Drosophila melanogaster: one gene and its partners. The gene in region 2 interacts genetically with the main gene of each other region. Each region holds a gene or a part of one and is shown on either strand. Other genes may lie near its edges.

Evidence for each region. A genetic interaction does not mean that the proteins touch.
Region 1: of Cad99C (region 2) and sas, changing one suppresses a phenotype caused by changing the other (phenotypic suppression), as found in Drosophila melanogaster (one study listed by BioGRID).
Region 3: of Cad99C (region 2) and AdamTS-A, changing one suppresses a phenotype caused by changing the other (phenotypic suppression), as found in Drosophila melanogaster (one study listed by BioGRID).

Annotation. Positions count from the first base shown.
Region 1 is NT_033777.3:7,160,824-7,166,342, forward strand, and holds the start of sas (stranded at second), read left to right. Parts: upstream 1-1,984; 5' UTR 1,985-2,217; intron 2,218-3,298; 5' UTR 3,299-3,536; intron 3,537-3,605; 5' UTR 3,606-3,697; coding exon 3,698-4,037; intron 4,038-5,519.
Region 2 is NT_033777.3:29,839,845-29,845,261, forward strand, and holds the start of Cad99C (cadherin 99C), read left to right. Parts: upstream 1-1,812; 5' UTR 1,813-1,946; intron 1,947-2,880; exon of another isoform or gene 2,881-3,029; intron 3,030-5,417. UniProt on the Drosophila melanogaster protein: Cadherin that functions in epithelial morphogenesis and the intestine epithelial immune response. Essential for female fertility. Regulates the length and organization of apical microvilli in developing follicle cells and salivary glands.
Region 3 is NT_033777.3:15,472,659-15,478,479, forward strand, and holds the start of AdamTS-A (ADAM metallopeptidase with thrombospondin type 1 motif A), read right to left. Parts: upstream 3,536-5,821; 5' UTR 2,631-3,535; coding exon 2,229-2,630; intron 1-2,228.

The DNA of each region.
Region 1 (5,519 bases), about 23 Mb from region 2:
CATAATTAAGCCAATTACTATTGAACAACTTTCGCTGCTCTTCGTCTGCGCTATCGCATTGCATGCGATTGGGTAAATCAAATCACACAAGTATCAGGTTTACCAGGTCCCATTCCAACGATGCAAGGAAGTGGGTGCTTAGGTCTGTGGCCATTTGGTAGCTAGATAATTGGCTATCAGTGGAAGACCCATTGGTAGTATGCAACTTTGGAATTTTTTACAACACTTCTAGTCTTCTTTTCTTTTGCTTAATTTATATTTCTTAATTTTTAATTCTTAATTCCTAATGCTTTAGTATTCATATGTTGTGCATTTTATGCAAAAGACACTACTTGTAGTTTCCGTTTTCTTGCAGCGTTCTTTTCCTTTGCATACATTGAGAAATGCTCCATTCAAAAACTGTGAGCATAAACTGAAGTTGCATTGTTATTATTATTATCTTTTTATGTTCGCCTGTATTTTATTAGCATTAGCATTAGCGGCTTCTCAATGACGGTGCGATAAGCCCCAGACAAAATATATGTATGTATAAACAAAGGGAGACAATGCAACTTTGGCCGTGTTTGTGCAACACCAAAAAAAGCGCATTTCTGCATTATTCTCTGATGTTTGCACGTTAATGTATGCAACCACAAGAGCAGCCCCAATAACATAGAAACTGTGTGCACATTTGATACTTTTTGACGTCTGCGAGCAGAGAGTTGAGAGTTGAGTTGGATATGATTTGATTTGATTAGATTTGAGTTCTTCAGACACACATTTCCTTTTTAATGACGGTTGGCCAACTTGCTGCCATTGATGTGTGATGACGGTTTCTGGGCGCGTCTCGCATCCCAAGTGGAGAATTGATATTTGCATCGATGGCATTTGATGGCGGTGGATCAGTCAGTGATCGGTGGATTTATGAATTTGGGAGCAGCTCCGCAGATAAGGCCTTCGGAATGGCGGTTATTTGGGTTTGCTAATAGATATTGGAATTTCATGAATCTTTCTAGTTTTATTTAATATTTCGGGTATCGCAGTAAAAATAACTTTTATGTAGTTATATATACATATATCGTACTTTCCTCTATAGAAACCGATTTGACCTCGACTAGTTTTTGGGTTTTAATAGCGTCGGCGTACTTATCTTATCTCTAGTTTTACTTATCCCAAAGTAATTGGTTAAATATTATTAGAACACCAAACATTTAGGGATTATAGTAATTATTTCACATAATATAATATAATATAGTACTAATGCTATCCTTATACTAATCATTTTTATCACTCACGAGTGTTCAATGTACCCTACAATAGGGGTGATAAGGTATCACCTTATCACTTATCATTTCACTCTTTCGAAGTAGCATAGAATTTCTTTATTTAATCATATTTACGAAAGCTGTAAATGGGATTAATCTCTTAGTGCCGCTGTGACCCCAAGCATCCCTGACTCATGAACACTCTGGATCTACGAGTATGGAGATGCAGGGCCGCTAATACGAATCTACGCTTGTGCTCTTTCAAAAAGTCAGACAAAGAAGTCGAGGAAGAAAGAAACCGAAGGTAGGCGTAATCGGAACGATGAATGCCAACTCGGCTTGGCCTGGGTTTTTCAATGGGATTGAGTTTTTCGCCATCCAATTGGACAGTCCAAATAGATCGCGCTGAGTTCACTTGTCAAGGAATCGACTATTGCAGTTGCCTTGCCAAATTGAAAAAAAAAAACTCCGTCTTTGAGTCTTGTGTATGCATCATGGTCGTCTTGTTTCGAATCCAACGACTTCTAGAGAGGGCCTTTCGCTCACTACACCCACACTGGCAGACAGCAACAGCCTAGACACACCTGAGTGTGGGTGAGAGCGAGCATTCAACCACGGGGTAATGGTAATGGGTATTATGTATTACGTGCACGGTCTCACCTGTTGCGCTCAGCTGACGCGCGAGAAGGAGCCAGCCAGATGAGAGCCAACTAAGAGTTGGCCGGAGAGCAACAGCAAACCAGTTACATGTTGGCAGCCTGCAGATGCAGACCGTGGTGAGTTGGCAACGCTACCAGCCAAGATCCGTGCCGCCGGAGAGATCAGTTGGTGGTCGTGCTTGAGACGGAGCGGTTGGCCGAGTGCGATCGCATTACTTTGCGAACGATTTATATATACATATAAACCGCGCTGCCCACAAACGTGGCCAGATAAGAGGAGATATATACCAATACCTATACCTATTTCTCGCCGGGTTGGTGCTAATCTTCGTTTTAAGCGTGCCTGCGTGTGTGTGCGGTTGTGATTTATGCAAATCTTTGCTTTCTTATTAAACAAACACAAGATCTGGTAGTGAAATAAACGGCCCAGCAGAAGAAAAGAGAACCACGACCGAAAACATTCCATTGGAAATACCGAAAACACGTTTTCTCCCTCCAGCTCCGAATCGCTTGTTCGCTGTTTGCTTTCTGCCATTTGCCATTTCTACAAAAAAGGAGTGAGAGTGAAATGTGAAATGCGAAATGTCAGTGCAAATAGCTATCAACTTTTACAATGACATCACTAGATGTTAGCCAAAAGAAATATTAACAATTGCCAGCAGATATGGAATAAATAGAACCGCACGCTGTCTAATTGCCTTCGTACCAATATGGCCAAAAAGGCGTGCAGCAAATTCTGCGGTCTGCAGCCGTTTTCAGTTGCAGTTTCTGCTGCTGCCGTTGGAACCGGTTGAAATATTTTGCTATCGCAATTTGGGTCTAGGGTTTTTTGTTGCTGGCGTTGCATTGTAGCGAGTTGCATGAGCATCGACTGCCTTGCATATAAACAGTATATCTTTTTTTAGAGCCCAATTGGCAGCCTTTGTTTTTGGCAAGCTGGTTTATTTGCCTAGTTTCTGATTTGAATGGTGAGAAGTAAACATTGTGCTGGCGGCGTAGTCTTAAAAAAATGAAAGATATTTATGAGCTGCTCTAGGCTTAGGTACAGAAGTTGTAAATCTAAATGAAATATGCTAAATAGGGTTTACGTATCGTAAATCTACATAGGTTTTCAAAAATTCGGACACATTCAAAACTATGCGAAACTTTATAAAACAAAAGACTTGGGAAACGAACTTGCGTGAGTGGCATCGAAGATGTTTACGCTTTCACACTTAAATTGGTCATTACATAAATGTGTGACATAGGAAATGCTTTAGATATGCGGCGTATTTGGAAAAATTAGCTAATACTTTTATTTCGTAGCTTAATTAACTCACATATTATTTTTGATTGATTGAGTCAAGAGTAAGCCACCCCTATTTTCAAGCTAACAACTTTCCAATTTCCGCGTAGGGCGACCTAACAAATCACTCAACAAATCGGCTGGCAAAATATAGACTTGAGTTGACACTTGAGAGATCGTTATTCAACCGACTTTCAACGGAAATGACAGCATTTGGGGTTACCAAAGCGAGTCAATGACAAATAACAGAAACCGCTGCCACAGATGTCGTGTGAACTAAAATAACCGCATAAGAAAATCCCGCACCCCAAAAGAGAAAACTAAATAATAACTAGTGAACAAAAGTAGGTAATGAGTTATCGAGACCCTTCGAAACGTTTAAAAGTGCATGTAATTTATTTAATTCCATATTTATAGCAGATTACTATAAATTAACAATAACAAGTGCAAACGTGTGAGAAAAATCAAAGAGGAAAAGCCAAAAAGACGGAGCACAAACATAAACCAAAATGCAAACGTGTAGAAGAAGAAAAGCCTCCGGCGGCCAATCCACGATCAAGTGGAGTAGAATGTGCCTGGCCACTCTCTGCGGATTACTTTTGCTTGGCATTCAAATTGAGCGTGCGGCGTCTGCGCCCGCAGGCGAAGACGCAGCGGCCACAACGATGCCACCTTTGGATACCACAACAGATGCCCCAGACGCCGTTGCAGCCACCACCACTCCAGCCACAACTGCCGCAGAACAAAGCAGCAGCATCAGCAGCATAACCACCGAGGCGGCGGATGGTTCAACGACTTCCACGACGACAACAACTGAGGCGGCCAACAAATCCAATGCGACCGAAACTGGTGAGTCCAAGCCGAAAGCCATGAAAATTATAGATAGACGGCATCTACGCGACGACGCTCGCATAGCTGGGGCATCTCATCCCGATCTCCGGCCAGACACTTTAATCCCGCCTAGCCGCGCTGTGCTCTCTGCGCCGTAATCAAATCTCGTTCTCTGAGCCACCAATTAACGCCGTGCCGGTGCGTGACTTCTGGTCCGCCCTTTTTTTTACCCATTTCGTTTCGATTTGTACGGCATTTCTCCATAATTATTTTCCGATTCGGTTAAATGGAGCGAACAAGAGAAATTGTTTGACTATTAATGGATGGAAGAATATTTGAAGATATACATAAGCGGTTTCCTGTTGAATTACTTAGTTAATTACGCGGCATATTAAAGGGAAAATATTAAAATTTCCGGCCCTCAAGCTCAATCTCGGAAACCAATTATACGAGAAATTATTATTCGTGCTAGAACAAGTGAATGAACTTAATTAAATCTTAATATATTCTACTCGTACTACACCCAAGATACTCAAGATAAATTGAATTATACTTCTATTTCGATACAATTGATACTTAATATAAAATAAAAAATAATAAATCAGATTAGATTTTTTTTTTTTTTTTTGTAATTCTGTTGAATGAACACATTCACATTTAGGTTATTAGGATAACTGGAGAAATTCGTTTAACCAGATCACCTGAGATGGAATGATTAACTTTCACACACGTACCTTTTGCAAAATAGATTAATCGGGCAATTCCATTGCCGAGTTCTTGGCTGTAACAGATTTATAATTATCTAGAAGGTTGTTTGGGCTTAATGTCAGTTGCACACCAAACTCTTCACGAGGCAAGCACTCCGTCGTAAAAACTTCAATTGGTTTTTCATTGTTTTGATACTATTCCATCTAGATTCATTGATGACTCGATAAAACGAGGTCTAGCAGGCCACACACAGGTCTAGATCGATTGAGCATAGGTTGTTGCCATGGCAAGTGGGAATGCATTGTTTAAAAGGGACTGGCCTTTTTTAGCCGGTCTAAATGCCACGGGAAGTTAATGAGATTTAACAGCAAACATTGGGATGGTGGTAAGGTAAGCCTTCACAAATTACTCAATTTAAATGCAAAGCAGCCAACTGTCATGACTCATGCCCTTAACCTACGTAGTCCGTACCATAATCTTGGAGTTAACTTTGTTAAATTTTGGGTGTTAACTTTGTACAGAAACACGGAATGTCTTTTCGCGGGGGCTAATTATATAAGTATGTGCCCAGGAAATTAGCTAAGAGAGATAAATAGCAATTAGTCATTGACAGATGTGATAAATGAAACACCTACAAACTTGGAGAAGAAACCGCACCTGATTACATTTTAAAATGGGTATTTCAAGTGATGCAAACTCTTATTTTGCCAGGCGTTGAGTGGGTAGCTAGTGGATTGAGGATTTGGATTTTATAATTAAAACAAGCACATATGTATTAGCAAATCAATTATT
Region 2 (5,417 bases):
TTGCTATGCACCACAATTTATTTTGCCTATGCTGCACCTGTCGTTTGTGCAATCGAAAATTCTCAGGAAGGCAAAAATGATTTTAAACTGGCTCAACCAGCAATTCGAGCTTTTGCGCATGGTCAATGCGAAACCTTACAGTTTTGGCTGACACATTTCGCTTGATACCTTCATATCCGGTACTCATGGAGCATATCAGCATATAGCTTGCTACTACCAAAAACATTTTGCAGAATCACAAGCAAATCTGTCTTGGCTACAACTCCAGTAGCAGCGTGTAACTTTGGGTCACTGAACTACACTTTTGTTAAATGTCAGCATAAATGGCTAAAATGAAATACACCTTACAAGCTCCTCCTAACCAACTTGTTCATAATCCAAAAACTTCCTGTTAGAGTAGCGAATTCAAACAGTTGGCACTTTGTTTTTTCGAACTTGACATATGTAAGCCGATCGGCAAATTATCGCGAAAATGGGCCATTCGAATCGTAAAAGTGATGACCAAGCCGGAAGAGCACAGACATTATGGTAATCCAAGAACCCCCAATAAATGTAGCAAGAAACTGCCTCTTTATAATAACGAAAGAAGCTAAGCCTTAATTAAATCCCAACCCAGTGGGATGCGGATTTGGCCAGGTGAGGAGCTAACAGCCAACTGGCTTGTTAGCAAACAGTAAAACGAGCTAATGACGTACATCTGCTGAAAACCCTTGCACTTTCTCCTCCAGCCAGTTGTGATGAAGATGGCAGACTCCCATGCGTTTAGCACCATGAAGATACTCCGCTAATAGCCATTTAGCACATGGCTTAATCTTACCGTACAGTTTGTGTGCCATATGAATATGCTATGTTTGCTATAATTAGGTGCTTTGACATTTCGAGAAACAAGATCTGCGCAAATTATCATATTTGGCTGATCCCATCGATCTGAGCAGCTTTCAATGCCAATATAACGATATTGGCTCAATTGTTCTGGCAGCATCCGGCTGGAAATGGAAATGGTGGTATTCGATGGTGGTGTTCGATGGAAACACCTACCCATGATGGCAATGCCAATTTCGCGGATTGCCAGCCAGCCGGGTGCAACTGTCTCATTGTCCCAGTACAATGGCAACGGAATATGCATATGCGACGACTCCCTGCCCGCCTGACAGGTACAAAAATGCTGTCTGCCCCTTTGGTGAACTTCATTCATGCCCCGGATCGCAGCTCGGATTGCATTGCATTGCAGTGGATTGCAGTGGATTGCAGTGGAGTGGAGTGAGCGGCCAAAATCGCGGCAACATCGACTAAAACATTTTAATAAAAACTTACACAGCAACGGCTGCAGTGCAGCTGAAACAGAAAAGCAAACACAAAGCGAGCGACAAGCCGAGCCGAAGCCCCAAAACTGGTTCCTGGCCTGGCTGGCTAACTCTAAGCCCGATCCACGGCTCCAACTCCTATGAAAATGCAACATGGTGGTCTCTTACATATTTACCTTTGACTTAACAGACGCTGTTAGCCGCTCGAGATTCTCTGTCCGCGCAGCATACACATATACATATGTACATAGCTGTGTATGTACATGCACCTGCAGATCGTGGATCGCAGTACCTGTGCTCCACAGCCGAAGCCTTTCGCATGTGTGTGTGTGTGTGTGTGTGTGTGTTTGAGTATGGTGTGGTATCCATCAGCTGGCAAACGAGTAACCCCCGAAAAACCAGTTTTACCGCAAAGCGAGCGAATGCCAGCTCAATTCCAATACGTTCCACCTTGGATCGGGTAGCGCCCACTTGTTGCCGCTGCTGCGCGAGACAGGTAAAGCGAAACAGTACCGATCCAACCGCCGAGCCGACACCACGTACCACGTACTTTCGCGCAGTGTAGCACGACGAGTATGAGCTTGTGCCCCAACGCAGCGCTATTGCTATAAGGTGGCTGGCGCGATACCGGTTTTCGAGCTGGTATGAATATGCCCAAGAGCTAATTTTTTAAGAGTTATCTCTCAAGAAAATGTGTAAAGTTCAGAATGGTCCGTTTGTGGCGACGTGTGATGTGTGGATGTGTGAGGTGTGTCCGGTGGATCCAAGGCAACCTAAAGCTGTAGCCATAGAAGCCTGAAAAGGGCATACCACGCAGATATCTCGAAATAGCGCTCCGTTTAAATAACAAAGAAGCCCCGAGAGGCAAACAAAGCCTTCACGCCATCATTAAATCTAAAAATCATACCTTTGTACACACCACTTTAACCCCCGAGAGCAAGACTTTCTCTTGCCAATTTTTCAGTTTTTTTGTTTACCCAACACAACTCACAGTGGAGTGAAAACAGAAAACAAACGAAACCATCATCGTTTTGCCGAATATCAAAGGATAGAACACTAATGTGGAATGTGAACGTGATCGCCGTATTAAGCAAATCGCATTTATCGACCGGGATTTCTGCGGCATTTGCCAAGAACCAAGAAACAAGCAATAAAACAGCCAAAAAAAACAAAAAAAAAACGGCAAATGAGGTCACGTATGTCGAGATTTGTGTAAGAAACTTACACAGTCGTGTTCACTGTACAGGCATACGTAGATAGTCATCGACTTGCCATGCTACTTTTACTACATGCTACCAAACTCCCACGCGCCGCTTTGTTCGCCAGCTTTTCGCGAAACATTATGGCTTATAATTAATCCAAGAGGGCAACCTCCAAACAGTAATTAAAATTCACTTCAGTGCGGCAAAACTCACTTCCAAGCCGGTGATCCGGTGATCATCAACTTCGAAATGATCAACTTCGGATTCAATATGAATTTTATGACAGAGAAATACATAAAATAAGTATTACAACACCTTCAAATTTGTGTCGCGAGTGTTTTTAATCGAGTTTAACCCTGTTTTTTAATGCGCAGATACAACATCTATTGAATAATATAGTAAATCGAAATGTAATTGAGGACCAAGAATAACCTTTGTTAACGGCGTGTGACTCCATTTTTCACGTTGGATACTCAGCTGAAATACTTTGAGCTGCTTTAATATTTAATCTTTAGACCAAACGGTAAGTGCGGAGTATTATTAGTATTATTATTATTAAATTATTCAGCATCCAAAGGCGGGGAGAAGCAAAATGATGAAATAATGTTCTTTTCTCCGGGCGGCGGAGATTAATCTTCATTTGGCTAAATGGCTAGAAGCCATTTATAAAGCAGAAAACATAATCACCTAACCGTTTTTTCTTCAGCGGAAAGTCAGGTCGATTAATTTTATTGTCACCCAAGAATTTGCAGTTCAATGTCTTTGGCCATCATCTAAATTCAAAGATTTGTTTTTAATTATTCTAAACTCAACTTATTTTGGCCAATTAAGACAATCATAATGGTAGAATGTTTATGTTACTCAGCAGTTGCTTAAGTTTCGTTAGACGTGTTCTCGATAAAAAGGCGAATCATTAAAATTAATCATCAGGAAAAATGATTCTCAGCAAATTGGCTCTAAGATACTTGTCGAGTTCATTAGAACGATTAGAATGTTAAAGCACTTTGAGTCATTAAACTCGACAAATGGCCATTTTGAAGACGATCATATATTTACTCCCACAGGAGTCATAAATATATGGACAGCCAAAATGAATGGCATAGATTGAGATACTTTATATGCTGATAGAATTCGATATATATTATGAAACATCTCACGGATCCGTGAGGAGAAATACTTTGTATGGCCAAGAGCGCGTCCTCTGTCCAATAAAATTAAAATACAATAAAACACTCAGCGAATTAGCATAACAATCGCAGTTGGAGCTGACAGAACGATGGTGTATACATGAATGTATGTATCCAGGTGATCCAAGTGATCCGAGTGATCATCCAGGGGAGCCGAGTGGCCAGGTGGACCAGGGTATGCCGCCATTCGGTGCCCAAATGCTGGCGTTCCTTTCTTGTTTATTTAAGATTTGTGTGGCAACCATCGTTCGCATTCCAGCAGATTTGAGATTTAAGTTCGCTACGTATTGTACCACATTCAAAACTAGAAAATGTTGGCAAAAACAGCATCAATAAGCAACAGGTTTGCCGCATATCGAATCTGCACCCAGCAGCACACAACACACACAACACACACAACACACACAACACACACAGTACACAGGCATTCAAAGCGATACCTCGGCTTTCGTTTATTTTGCAAACCAGTTTGGCACATTCGGCTTTTTCTATAAGTTTCCGGTTGAACATAATCAGCAACTGACTTTCTGTGGTGGCCACCGCCGAACTCCTCCTCTGGCTGCTCCTGCTCCTCCTGCTCCTTCTCCGATCTCCTCCAGCTTCGCGCCTTTGTTTATGCGGGGGAAATGGAAAATGGCATTTTGTGTACCGTCCAGTGAAAGCGGAGGACTTGCAGCGCTTTTCGCGATTTTCCCGATTTTCTCGATTTCCTCGCAAATGGAAGCAGGAACGGCACGACGGAGCATTTAAGCCCCCATATCAATACCATGTGATATCTCGCACTTAAGTTACGCAATGGGCGATCGGGGCTTTTATGATTTCGGAGATAATTTCAGCAGCAGTTGCGTTTGCAGACAAGTTTGATTCCACTCGCGATTGCAGCACACTTTGGCGAAATTAAATAAATCGTTGGGAAATCATGGGTATTTTGATTGGTTTATTTGGCTAATTGCGTAAATCGAATTGCAATTGGCCATCGAAGACAATAGTTGTCAGTGGCGGCTAAGGATAAGAGATCCATCAGCTTGGATTTTAATTGTCAGCCAATAGTTGAAATTCAATAATTCGCTTTGTTCATTAGAGCGCGCACTTTATTCCCCTATTTTATGAGTTTCGGTTAACCAGCACAACGGAACCCGGCTGCTCTGGACAGTGCTATCTATATCCAATGGATGCGATCGAGGAGGGAGCGCGAAAACCAGAAGATTAACTCCGATCCGTTTCATTAAACAAACGATCCGAGTAACGGATACGATGCAAGTGGCTCCTGGTGCCAACGAGTCTTCAATGGAGATCGCAGATGGAGCAGAAAGTCAGAAAGCTAGAAAGCCAACGGATGTGCAGAAACCTAAGCCGCAGCATGGGATGGCCAACTCCCAGCACCCAGCTCCCAACTCCCAAGCTCTTGGTTCTAACTGTATGCCAGCCGTAGCCGCAAAAGTTGATCGGCCAGTTGGCGAGCTGGCCATTTAGGCGCTCGATGAGATGAGGTGGGCAAAATGGGCAAAATAAGTGAAATGGGAGAAAGACGATAGAAATGGGAAGAATGGTAAAAATGGGCAGAATGTGCACCTGATCGCTGGGTACTCCGCGGGCTGGCTTGCCACTTTATTAGCCAATTTATGATGCCACCGTTATGAACTTCTCACTGTCAATATTGCCCCAGCCAAGTAGCTAGATCGGTTCGAACGGAACTGCTGAAGCTGTTTTCAATTTGGCCAGCA
Region 3 (5,821 bases), about 14 Mb from region 2:
CAACTGACAAATTGAGCATTTCAGTCATCTTTTCTCTACTTTTCTTATATTTTTCTGGTGTCACTGAACTCTTCAAATTTTCATCGTTATACCCTTGCTAAGGGTATATTGCTTTCAGTCAGGAATTTGCAACGCAGTAAAGAAGACAATCTACAGCCTTTCGCTTTTGATCAGAAACGGACAACCTTATCATATCATATAAAATGTCTAGCAAATCAATGAAAAACTAATCCCAGCTTAGTTGTTTTTTAATCATAATGCGTTCTAATTCGGTACACACCAAATTTGTGATTTGACATTCGATTTTAATTTGTTCAAACTCTGCAAATAATTACTGCAAGGGTGTATAAGTTTCGGTTTTCCGAAACTAGCATATTTTTTTGTTTTTATTTAAAGTAGACGAAATAAATTGAAAAAAGAGAACAGAGAAACACGCGCAAAGCGACGACGTACGACTCAAAAAAAAAAACTAAATAAATAAATAAAAAAAAAAGACAAAACGCGAAACAGAAACAAAAAGCAAGAAAATAAATATTCAAATTCTACACATTGTGAAAATTTTATTGTCGAAATACAAATTGGACGGCGCAGCCTTACTTACATGCATGTATTTCCCGACTTCTCAGATTCTAGGCGCCACGCGAAAAACTAGAAAATCTATTTTCGAAACATTCACAACAGCGAGTGAATCGAGTCGCACCGCACTGAATATGTCACAATTACTCATGTGCTTCTAAAATGCCAAGCGATGTGCATACGAGTTTATACATACAACCCAAATAGACAGTACATCCTATTCCCATTCGATCCCGAGGGGGTTACGTTGCCACACATGGCCCGTTATCAGTGGCAGTTGGGCCTACAGACTTCACCACTCGCGCACCCAACATTATTATGCATTATTATGTATTCATGGACCGGGGGATCGTGTCGTTTTTCACATTTTACATTGCCCGCCAGGCGGACGTTGATAAAATTCTAATGGCCTGTAAGCCAGCTAGCCAGTTAGCCAGTTAGCCAGCTTGCCAGTTAGCCAGTAAGCCGTGATTTAGGCATGTTTCCATTCACGTTGTTGTCACGTCCCGAAACAAACGCTTTTCACACCTTGTTGAGCTCTGTAAATCGTAGTTATGTGCTGTTTCCACCCAGGTCGTGTGTAACTGCAATACCATTTCCTTAAACCGAACTTGAAAATGTTTATCGAAATTTGCATCTTAATTCGTCGTCTGCCTCGCACTAATGGGCAAAAAAAAGTTCGTACCCAATCCTGTCTGGAATATGGAATATCAGTGACATCCAGACAGGGGCGTCTTTGTTCTTTATCTCTATTAGATATCTTTTATGTTCTTATCTCCTGTGGGACATGTGCTCCCGATGCTGCAGAATCTTTCGCTTTCCCGAAAATTGTTGCTGCAGAGCTAGAGCAAGATAGTGGCAACCTGGCGGAAACACACGTCCGACATACATCAGCAGACCCTGTGTGACGCAAATGGATGGATTATGAGTCAGCTAAAGAAGTGGGAGCTGCAAACCCAAACCAAAAGGAATAGTTTGATGACCAGATTGCTTGATATATGAATGCACTTCGTGGAGGCGCTCTGGCGCATTTGGATCGAAGTGCTTCGAACACGTTGCCATCTTCAGTCTGTTTGAAGCTGTCGAACGGTGAGGTTGCCGAGAATCCTATCGTGGATCCAACTTGGGATCCAGATTCACATTTCCGCTGCCGCGTGCGCGGTGCTTCGTGGCCAGTGAGGCGTGTGAATTCAAATGCGGTGGTCAACGCTTTGGTTGTCGCTTTCTTTGTGTCGCCAGTGGTATTTAATCAAAATCGAATAGAGAGCCAGAGTGGCGGCAAAAGCAACAAAACAAAAAAAAAAATGAAATGAAATGAAATGAAACGAAATAAAACAATGCGGCATACAAAACGAGACGAGCACACCAAAATATCGGCAAATCAACCGAAATTATAAAAGAAAGGAAAGAACTCGACACATTGATGTGGAATCAATGCAATAAATTAACTTAAATTTGGTTTTCGCTTGGCCAGCCGATTTCGATAAAGTAGAAAAAAAAGAGAGAGAGAGACAGAGACGAATACAAACACAAATAAATGAAAAATCGTTAAAATCCCGGTCTGCGAATTCGATCAGCCCACGAAATTCGATGCGGCGGACTAGGCCTCCAAAAATATTTATACTTATGTAGAGCTCGGATTTAGGACCTACCTGTCTGCCCAGCAGCGGACCCTTGCTGATGAAGTCCTTCTTGGCCGAGTAGAGCTCCGGCGGTGGTCCTTTCAGCGAATACCGCAGGCCGGACTCCCCAAGGTCGTCCGTCGTCCCACGCAGACAGCGCTCAAGGGCACGCTCATCCTCGTCGTCATCGGAGGCGGTGGCTGAGCAGGCGGATGATACGCAAGAGGAGGAGCACGCGAAGGAGGTACGATCCCGAGCACCGGGAGATTCGCAGACAGTGGTACTATTCGTGCCAGTGCTGTGACCAGAAGTTGTGGACCGCAGTGTGGTGCTGGGATACGCGAAGGCGGGCAGGTCCGACAGCAGGCGATGGCACTCGACCTCCTGGCCGCCGGCGGGCGATTTAAGTGAACCGGCATCCGGCATGGACATGGCGATGACCAGATAAGATAGCGATCTCCAATCTCAGAAATCCGAAATCCCAAATGGCACGTGCAAAAATGCGCGCGAAAGAGCAACAAAATCCACAGTATGCGTATATACGGCTATACGTATATCTTGTAGATATATGTATCTTTACACTTATGTTGGCTCTATGGCTCTTTGGCTCTTTGGCTTTTTGCTTATTTTGTTAATTGAAATGCGACAGTCTCGTTCCGTTGCCGTGGGCACCGCACCCGCCAAAAAATGCGAAAATACGAACGAACAGAAAGGCAAAGACTACGGCTCGTGGGTATTAAAACGACTCACACTTATGGCTGCGATTAGCTAGATAAACTACTTAGTACTGGAGCCATTGTACGATCTCATGATGAATCTTTTTGCCGAATCACAGAATTTATTCGCAGTTGCGGTTGGGTTTTGGCCAATGTTAAGCTTGAACTTCACACATCGCGCCGAATGCATTCACTTTCGAGCTGCACCATTAACTTGGCCACCGTTGGCATTCTGAGTTGCTGGCTTTCTTTTCGCTTTCGGCCAGCGGCTATTTTTGCAAACTTTTCGGTGGCGAAGGTTGTCCCACAACTGAGCACCATGTCAGAGTTCACAAGAACACGCCGATCGTTTGGCATCGGCATCGCTATCGCCATCTGGCCGACATGGCTGGTCAGGATACGGAATACACTGGCGCACTGGGATGAATACGTATTCAAATTCGAATTAGAAATCGCAACTGGATTAATATTACAAATGGAACTTTAGCAATTGTCTGATACTACCGCGCGCGCGCAAATAAATGAAACGGACGAGAACGAGCCGATGGACCAGACCAATGCTGCGAACCAGAGAATTTGTATCTGTATCTGGCGATGTTTCGTTTCGGCTCGCTTGAGTTCCCGCTGCGGACTGAACACTGCTCGCCGAACAGCAGTTGGTAGCGGACGTTCCGCCGTACCGCCAAGCAATCTGAGATCGCGAACATATATCGCTCCGAAAGCTAAAAGCGGTTCTCTCGCAGCTATATGCTGTACAACATACATACATACATATGTACATATGTATGTACATACTCGTATGTAGGCACGAGTATAGGGATATGGGTTTGCTGAATGGGCTTAGGATTTCGATTCCGAAGGAGTGTTTTAGAGAGATTAGAAATACGTCAGAATCATATCAGTACGCAGAACAGCCGGCTTCTCTGCGCAGAGAGCGCTGTGGCGAAAAGAGAGCCGAGCGCGGCTTAAAAGAGCACTCGAACGCTCTCTTAAGTGCGCCTCTGCTTACTCAATATTTTTGCACATGTGAGGATTAAGTGTGTGGACATAATTATCATCGGATAAGATAAGGTGTGTTAGCATAGTAACAATCTTTGCATCTAGAGTATCTGCCTTTTCGGATGAAATAATATAAATATTAAAAAAAAAAAAAATAGGCTTATGCTGCATGCTTTATTCAGTAATAGTTTTTAAAAGTAATCAAAATTTGTAAACATGTTCACACTTGTGTGATACCAACCAATTTGAGTAAGTATGTACTTGAGTAAATAATAAAACTCTTTTTACTTATGACTTATTTTACTAGCCTATGCATTACTAATCGCACCGAGCAGTACTAAAAACTTTGAATACGAATTCTTTTGAAATAGAGGATAAGACCCTGGGCATTACCAGTGGTGCACTTCCGGAAGAAGTCATTTCGGAAGAAAAAAAGGAAGTTGATGATCACAGAGAATGGTACAATGATGACTAGCTCATCAGTATCAAAAAAAATTCTTTTTTTGACGTAAATAAACTGACACGACAGCCTTTACTCAGAAATGCGACAAATATAAAGATATATCTAAATAATCTACACAAGCTGAACAAACATATCGTAATAGTTTAGATAGGCAAGTGTAACTGATTTGTCTCAAATTGGTATCATTATAAACAATACTTTATACTTTATACTTTATATTGTCTCATTTGGGCATAGAGTGTGCGACATCTGCCGGATCCCAGCCCATCCAATGTGGGTCAAGATCAATCTACTGATCGCGTCAGTGAATAAAAATAGTAGCCATTCGCTCCATTATTTGAACGCCGAGAACTCTTCCACATAAATGTCTTCTGTGCCAAATTACCATATGTAGCAATTGACCCTATTGTATACTAAATATTTTCTTTAATCAAACGCAGCAATAAGAATTAATCAATTAAAAGACCAGAGCTCGTTTGCCAAATTAAAGTATAGTTGGAAATTAAAAATCCATTTCGCCGCCGTGGAGGTCGGCGAAAATTTAAAAATATTCCAAAATACGATGATGCATATTCATATACTACGGATGTTGCGAGAATGGTGGACTAATGAAAAACATCTCAAAAGATTCCAGGAAGAGCGTTCTCCATGCAACCATGCAATCGGCAACAAAACGCTTGTTTTGTAATCAACAACAAACAGCCGGCATCCAAATGATGCCAACATAAAACAGCAGCCATAACAGAACATCTTACAAAATAGCCCTAAAAGTCTGGAGGGGGCAAGTGAGTTCCCCAAGAAGGCTGTTTGTATTACACCGAACTAATCATCATGCCCTGTAAGCAATGTTTACACAGCCACTAAACAAAATAAACGACTCCTAGCTGGAGTCTCTCCCCAAGTCACTAATAAATTGCTCAGTCTAGCAAATCGCATACTGATCTGTAGGAAAGCATACGTTCTAAATTAGGAAATATTGCTCAAAGAGGCGCCGCTGGTTTTCAGATGCTAATGATCGAGCCACTGGAGACCGCTGACCACAATGTATCTATCTGTCTATCCATTTTTGTATCTATGCTATCTGCTCCGATCGCATTGTATCATCCTAATAATTAACGCATTTAGATCATAAGGCGGGCAGATAGCCATAAACTTTTGTTTAGCTGTTGATGCTTATATGGCAACAGCATAGATGGACTGGCCCCAACTTGGATTTGGATAGAGAATCACTTTCAGGTGGATACCCAATCCAGACCCCTTGTCCTGGCATTTGTGCAACTTCGATCTGCACGCTGGCGGCCTTCGTGTGGATCGAAGATCAATAAGCGAGAGGCTGTGAAGAGCCCTAGACTACGGATCACTATCGAATTCGAAGTCTTCAGATGTTCGATGTCAGACTGACTGTCTGTTTATCCGTCCGTGCGTCCAACACGCGCAGGCCTCTT